Linked DNA regions of Arabidopsis thaliana. The protein of the gene in region 1 interacts with the protein of each later gene in a pairwise test. Each region holds a gene or a part of one and is shown on either strand. Other genes may lie near its edges. The genes, in order: ADF3 and ETR2.

Evidence for each region.
Region 2: the proteins of ADF3 (region 1) and ETR2 interact in a two-hybrid assay, tested with the Arabidopsis thaliana proteins (one study listed by BioGRID).

What each region holds. Positions count from the first base shown.
Region 1 is NC_003076.8:24,118,456-24,122,384, forward strand, and holds ADF3 (actin depolymerizing factor 3), read left to right. Parts: upstream 1-1,708; 5' UTR 1,709-1,926; coding exon 1,927-1,929; intron 1,930-2,663; coding exon 2,664-2,929; intron 2,930-3,022; coding exon 3,023-3,173; 3' UTR 3,174-3,494; downstream 3,495-3,929. UniProt on the Arabidopsis thaliana protein: Actin-depolymerizing protein. Severs actin filaments (F-actin) and binds to actin monomers.
Region 2 is NC_003074.8:8,252,708-8,256,636, forward strand, and holds the start of ETR2 (Signal transduction histidine kinase, hybrid-type, ethylene sensor), read left to right. Parts: upstream 1-1,851; 5' UTR 1,852-2,317; intron 2,318-2,414; 5' UTR 2,415-2,448; coding exon 2,449-3,929. Other genes in the region: AT3G23145 (ATP binding / aminoacyl-tRNA ligase/ nucleotide binding protein), read left to right, coding at 1-119, 246-309, 425-489. UniProt on the Arabidopsis thaliana protein: Ethylene receptor related to bacterial two-component regulators. Acts as a redundant negative regulator of ethylene signaling.

The DNA.
Region 1 (3,929 bases):
ATAGTTACATAGATAGTTACAAATTGTAAACTTTTATATATACTACCTTTAAAATATAAATTGTCTCCGCGGTATACCGCGGGTAAAAATCTAGTAACGCCTATTATGGTTTGAAATATGATTCATCACATATTATATATATTTTTATTTGTTTGTAGTTTTGTATGTTTTGGGGTTTTGGCTATGTTTTTCTATAAAAATCAACACAATACTAAGTTGAGTAAAATAAATTATTGAACCAGTCAGCGATACAAAAATATCTAATAAGGAAGACCAAATAATCAGCATGAAAGGTCGACAATTAATGAAGAAAGTCATTTTGTAGAAATGCAAGCCTTTTGATACCAGCATAGCATACGGGCTTCTAAATTCTAATGCTCACATAATGTCATTTATTGTTTAAGAAATATCTAATATCGCTCGAAATATGAGATTTGTTGTTGTCGAAAAAACATAATCCAAAGAGTTATCAAGAATCTAAAATCTTGTGTTATCAATAATCTATAATCTCGAAGGAAGTATGCTTTGGTTCAATCAAGTAACACACGTCAATCTTAATCCTATTGAAACAATGGTATAGAAATATGCAAATACGATCATATCAACTAAGATATACCGAAACCAAATATATTGGGATCTTTCAAAAGGACACGATCGGGAACTCTAACTACTGTTTGAGACTTTCCTAAAGTTATATCGATAACTAACGGTCAAATACCTGCAAATTTTGGATATATATAAAGATATATACCGAGTTTGTGTATAAACATGTTGTTTCTCCTAATCATACGTTATTGGAAACATTAACGCGGTTTGCTTTATGCAACTTTGAAACATTTGCTAATTTGTTGATATAAAATTTGGCTATTTATACTGTTTAGTTTAGTAAGGAATTAACACAAATGTTTTAGCGCATTATTGCACATTTGTGTGAAATAATATACTATTTTCGGGAAAATCATAATCGAAATAGAATTCCAAAATTTCCACGTGGCATATTATGAAAGGAATATTCCAGCTCGGGTAAGCTGGCCTCCATCACCGGTTATGATGAAAGGTGAGCCGAAAGTGGAGCCAACCTGAGATGCCCCGCATGAGAGCCATATGCTTCTTCGACCTTTCATTCTATATTCTTTCCTTTTAAAGATAGCAACTATTGATCAAAAAAAAGAAGAAAAAAGATAGGAACTATAGAACTATAGTCTTTTTTTTTCAACGAAGAACAAATATATGGTTATGAACTATTCTTAATGGATGGTCAAACAGATTTTTTGATTTTTTTCTAAGAAATTTTGCATGTGAATACATAACTACAGTTAATTCCATTCAACTGTTACTTTTCTTTGGGTGAAACAATAGGTTGGCAACTTGGCATAGATATCAACATCAGAGTTTTGAACAAATCTATCATCATTTAAGAAATGATAGAAAATCAAGTATTGTTTTTCAAATCAAGAAATATCAAAGAAGAATTCTGTATTAAGTTTAGTTCTCATGGAAGCCATAGAATATATCAGAAGTTTGAAACAAACAGCAAATATATGGAATAAAAAACATAGTTATTGGAATAAATAGAATAGTTATTTTTTTTTGTTTGGCATAAAATAAAGAAAATTATTTGTTCAACAAATTGTTACAGATTTCACTTATGTATATTTTGAACTAATTCTTATTTTTATATTAATTAAATCAAGATTTTACTTTTGAAAAATAATTAATGAATTTATGAAACAATCTCTATGTAAATAAAATAAAGCAAATTAAAACGCTCACACATGTTTACTTATTCGGACTAGAGAGCTTCCGCATAAAGCTGAGGAAAAAAAAGAGAGAAGACGCACACCGAAGAAAACACACAAGACTCCATTATTCTCCTGCTTCTTCGTCTCTTCAATTATTTTCTCTGAGACTAGCTTTGATTCAACCATGGTGAGCTCAAGTCTAATTTTTCTCTCTTATATAGTTCTCTTTCTTTGTTCTCTATGGCTTGATTTGAACTTTGCTTCTCGATTCGAGTTCCATTTCATCTTGGATTTTCAATTCTTCCGATTTAAGTTCTCGCCCAGAGTTAGATATGATTAGATCTGTAGATGGACTCGTTTCTTTGTTTAGATCTCTGAGATTTTGGATTTGTATGGTTAGATGGACTGATCTAGGATATGAATCGGCCGATAGTAAAGTCTTCAATTTCAGTGTGCTTGTGTTGGTTTTAGCCAATTGATTTTGAAACCAGGAAGAATAATAGTGTTCCATGTGGTTTTCCTTTGATTTTAGGGTTACGTCTATCGTTTGTTTAGCCTTTTCCTTTTATAAGATATTGTTTTCTCGCTTCTTTGAGTTATTATTTGCTGCTGTTGAAGTTTTCAGATGTGTGTTTGATTCTGTTGATGGTAGAGTATCATCCGATTAATATGATTCAGAACTGTAAAATCTGTCAAATTGATATTATGATAGCTCAACATCATCGTTCATATACGTTGTGGGAGTCATCCACGTCTTCCCTTTGATATACACACTACCAAGATCTGTTCATGATTCATTATGTTTGATCTCTGAACTAATGTATAACCCGAACGCCGTTTTAAAAGATGGGTATAGTGTCTACTAATATGTGTATTCTGAAGAGAGTTGCATCTTAATGTTCTATGTTTTGTTGGTAACAGGCTAATGCAGCATCAGGAATGGCAGTCCATGATGACTGCAAGCTGAAATTTATGGAATTGAAGACGAAAAGGACACACCGTTTCATCATTTACAAGATTGAGGAGCTGCAGAAACAAGTGATTGTTGAGAAAATCGGTGAACCGGGTCAAACCCATGAGGACCTTGCTGCAAGTCTTCCAGCTGATGAATGCCGCTATGCCATTTTCGATTTTGATTTTGTCAGTTCTGAGGGTGTCCCAAGGAGCAGGATTTTTTTCGTGGCATGGTAACTAACTAACTATACTATCTCTGCTAAAACCTGTCTATCTTGGTTTCACATTCTTTTCATTAACATTTCTTCTTGTTTTTTTTTTGCCAGGTCTCCGGACACAGCAAGAGTGAGAAGCAAGATGATCTATGCGAGCTCCAAGGACAGGTTCAAGAGAGAACTAGACGGAATTCAGGTCGAGCTTCAGGCAACCGATCCAACCGAGATGGATCTTGATGTTTTCAAAAGCCGAGCCAATTGATGAAAGAAATCCCCTGAAAATTTCGGTTGAATCAAACTTTTTCGTACTATTACTCAGTGATGCTTTTTCCTAAAGTTTGCTGTGACGGTACCAACCTGAACAGCTTCATTTTATCAGTTTGGTCTTTGTCTTTGTCTTTGGTCTCCTTTTTGGGTCCTTATAGTGTTGTCTTAAAACTTAAGGAATCTGGCTTGTGCTCTTTACCATTGTGGAAGAAATCGAACCCTTTATTAAACAAGAATCCTATTGGCACATCTTGTCTTCACATAATGAAAACTAATGATCCAGGGATTAAAAAGTTGTGAAAGTTTTATAGGCAAGTTGATACTGTGCAAAGGTAATATACATTTTCAAACATAAGGATCTCTGGATTGATAGAATTTCATTTCGTACACGACTATTCACATATTCGTCAATGCGACTATTTCAGGTTCAAAGTATTAGGAATTTAGGATAGTTCCAATAACGAGAAGAGTTGCTCAATCGAGTTTGGTCCAATAAGATAAACTGACCATCAAACATAAAATCCTAATCGATACTTTTGATTATTTGGAAACAGATCCAACCATTGGCAGTTGTCCATTGCTCATTCTACGCAATCTTTCAACTGTCAAATCTTAGCCCAACAAAAATACTTAGATGATTATTATATGTTGACCAAAACAATAATAATATGCTTACCATATAGTTTATTAATTCATAAATAAATTGAAGAATACGAAATTACGAAGAAAATAAATAAAAATACAAAAAGCA
Region 2 (3,929 bases), on another chromosome or scaffold:
TTCGACTAGTAGCAGATGATTATGTCATGAATGATAGTGGTACTGGTATTGTCCATTGTGCTCCTGTCTTTGGTGCAGATGACTATCGTGTTTGTCTTGAGAACGAGATAATTAAGAAGGTTAGATTTGACAACATCTTCCTTATATCACCACCTTTAACATTAAGTTTATTTTCTTTCTTGTTTAAGTTTACAGTATCTTCAAGAACCCATGTTCATGACACATTTTGTTCATGTGTTGTTTAGATTGTCAGAGATTTCAAACGTCCAGATGGTTTGAAAGATACAGAGATTGATGCAGCTGTAGATAGTACATATCTTAATTAAAAATACCACTTCTCTATGCTCTATTGTTGAGGAAACATATAATATTTGCATTCGTTCATGGTTCAGATATGATGTTATGGTAATTCTTGATCTACGAGAAGATGAATCTTTGAAAAACGAAGGTGTTGCCCGTGAGGTAAATAAATGTAACCGAAGCGATTAATGGTCATATATAAGTTGTATATTTGATATATGGGTTTCCTTCTCATTGTGCTCATGCATTGAAAAGCACCCTGTTATGACTGTGGTTCTAGGAGAACATTTGCATTTGACAGTCGGTGACTAATTGTTAAGCAAGAAGAACGCATGAGAGCCTTTTAAAGTGTTTTCTTCTAGATCGTTGCAAAAAGTTAAATGTCTCTTGAGACTTTGTACTCATTCTATAGATAAAGATGGGATTTATTACAAAAACAACAAGAAACTTTGTTACTTGTGGAAATTCAAAATTATCCGAACTAGCTTCACAAAATATGCTCAAGAGTTTCAATGTATTTTTTTTTGTTCTGTAATTGTATGACTCCGTTTGAAGCATCAAGATTATGGTTATAGGTAGTGATGCTAAAACTCTCTGTTGTTACAGTGACCACTAAAAACACCAACAAAAAAAACTTAGGTAACGTGTCGTCTAAAAACTTCTAGGTTCAATTTCTTTAGATAGTACTATCAATAAATAAAATAAATATGTACAAAGGCTTTAAACAATGATGTTTTTCAAAGATGATTGGTAGATACTAATTAGAGCTTCAATATAAAAGAACACATGCGATTCTGACATTCTGTGGTCTAACATGGTTTCTTCTAGAGTCAAAACCATACAATTAAAAGTTAGGAAAGTAATAGCAATGTGGTTTCAAATATATACTCATTACTCTTTAGATTCATGTATGGTGAAGGAAACATTATAATAAAATCAAAGATCACAGTTTTGTAGGTCCCTCATATTAATCAACATCTTAAGGCGTTATACATATCTTCTTTTTGTAAATATTTGACTAATTAAAATATCTAATTAGAGTATTAGACTAATCTCATCAAATATCCGACTACTTGTGTCAGTTCAAAACACAGTGATTACGTTAGATTTTGTGCTCTTTTGTTTATAAACAAAGCTAATTTAAGAAATATATGATCTATTTGCCTCCTTGGTCTTAATTTTATACTTTCTTGGAATAAAACACATTTATTAAAATAATTTTTAGGTTCCTAGATTCATGTCATGTGGCTTGATAGTTTCCAACAATTATACCAATATTTTACTCATTCATATACAAATAAACAAGCTTTATTCTATTCTTCAGTCTCATGATATACGGGATTTTGATAAAATTCAGAGTACCCATTAATTATTCTATGTTACAGCTTGTAATAAGTTAAATTTATAAAACGTACAAGTTGAGGAAATAACAAATGTTTTCAATATTAAATGATTTATTAATACATTAGTGACCAAAAAATTATTAAGTGTAAGAAAAAAAACACAACTCAGAAAAAATTCAAAAGACCGTCTAAGTTCGGTTCATGTAAGAACAAGTGGGACCTCTTTAAGTTTCTAAATCAGAGAATAAAGAAGAAGAAAAAATCTCAAAACCTTCCTCTAAAACCAACGGCTCCTACCTTTACTTACACCCTATACATACACTTCTCTTTTTATCCTCCATCGGCGGCTTATGGCGGTTTTCCGGCACTAATCATCTCCGGCATATATAAATAAACGTACTTCACGTTTTTTTATATAACTTCAAAGTAGTTTCAGATTTGTCTCTATCTCTTCACTTTTAAGTCTTCTGGTTTTGTCATCACCAGCTTTTTTTGTTCTGTCTCTGTCTTTCTCTTTGTGTATTTTTATTCTCGTCATCGTTGTTCTTCTATGAGAGGAAGATCGGAATGTCGAAGAGAATTAGAAGATTCTCGTACATCACTTCGTTGGAATTTCACAGGTCGATGAGAGATCTGAGAACTGTTTCATTTTGATCCAAACTCATCTCTTTCAGGTATTCCAAATTTTTCTTTCTCTGTTCTTTCTACTATTACCCAAATTAAAGTTTTGATTTTTATTTCTCACTCTGTTTCTTGTTTTTCTAATTGCAGAGTATAATGGACTAAGCATTTTTTTTCTCCGAAGATGGTTAAAGAAATAGCTTCTTGGTTATTGATACTATCAATGGTGGTGTTTGTTTCTCCGGTTTTAGCTATAAACGGCGGTGGTTATCCACGATGTAACTGCGAAGACGAAGGAAACAGTTTCTGGAGTACAGAGAACATTCTAGAAACTCAAAGAGTAAGCGATTTCTTAATCGCAGTAGCTTATTTCTCAATCCCTATTGAGTTACTTTACTTCGTGAGTTGTTCCAATGTTCCATTCAAATGGGTTCTCTTTGAGTTTATCGCCTTCATTGTTCTTTGTGGTATGACTCATCTTCTTCATGGTTGGACTTACTCTGCTCATCCATTTAGATTAATGATGGCGTTTACTGTTTTCAAGATGTTGACTGCTTTAGTCTCTTGTGCTACTGCGATTACGCTTATTACTTTGATTCCTCTGCTTTTGAAAGTTAAAGTTAGAGAGTTTATGCTTAAGAAGAAAGCTCATGAGCTTGGTCGTGAAGTTGGTTTGATTTTGATTAAGAAAGAGACTGGCTTTCATGTTCGTATGCTTACTCAAGAGATTCGTAAGTCTTTGGATCGTCATACGATTCTTTATACTACTTTGGTTGAGCTTTCGAAGACTTTAGGGTTGCAGAATTGTGCGGTTTGGATGCCGAATGACGGTGGAACGGAGATGGATTTGACTCATGAGTTGAGAGGGAGAGGTGGTTATGGTGGTTGTTCTGTTTCTATGGAGGATTTGGATGTTGTTAGGATTAGGGAGAGTGATGAAGTGAATGTGTTGAGTGTTGACTCGTCCATTGCTCGAGCTAGTGGTGGTGGTGGGGATGTTAGTGAGATTGGTGCCGTGGCTGCTATTAGAATGCCGATGCTTCGTGTTTCGGATTTTAATGGAGAGCTAAGTTATGCGATACTTGTTTGTGTTTTACCGGGCGGGACGCCTCGGGATTGGACTTATCAGGAGATTGAGATTGTTAAAGTTGTGGCGGATCAAGTAACCGTTGCGTTAGATCATGCAGCGGTTCTTGAAGAGTCTCAGCTTATGAGGGAGAAGCTGGCGGAACAGAACAGGGCGTTGCAGATGGCGAAGAGAGACGCGTTGAGAGCGAGCCAAGCGAGGAATGCGTTTCAGAAAACGATGAGCGAAGGGATGAGGCGTCCTATGCATTCGATACTCGGTCTTTTGTCGATGATTCAGGACGAGAAGTTGAGTGACGAGCAGAAAATGATTGTTGATACGATGGTTAAAACAGGGAATGTTATGTCGAATTTGGTGGGGGACTCTATGGATGTGCCTGACGGTAGATTTGGTACGGAGATGAAACCATTTAGTCTGCATCGTACGATCCATGAAGCAGCTTGTATGGCGAGATGTTTGTGTCTATGCAATGGAATTAGGTTCTTGGTTGACGCGGAGAAGTCTCTACCTGATAATGTAGTAGGTGATGAAAGAAGGGTCTTTCAAGTGATACTTCATATAGTTGGTAGTTTAGTAAA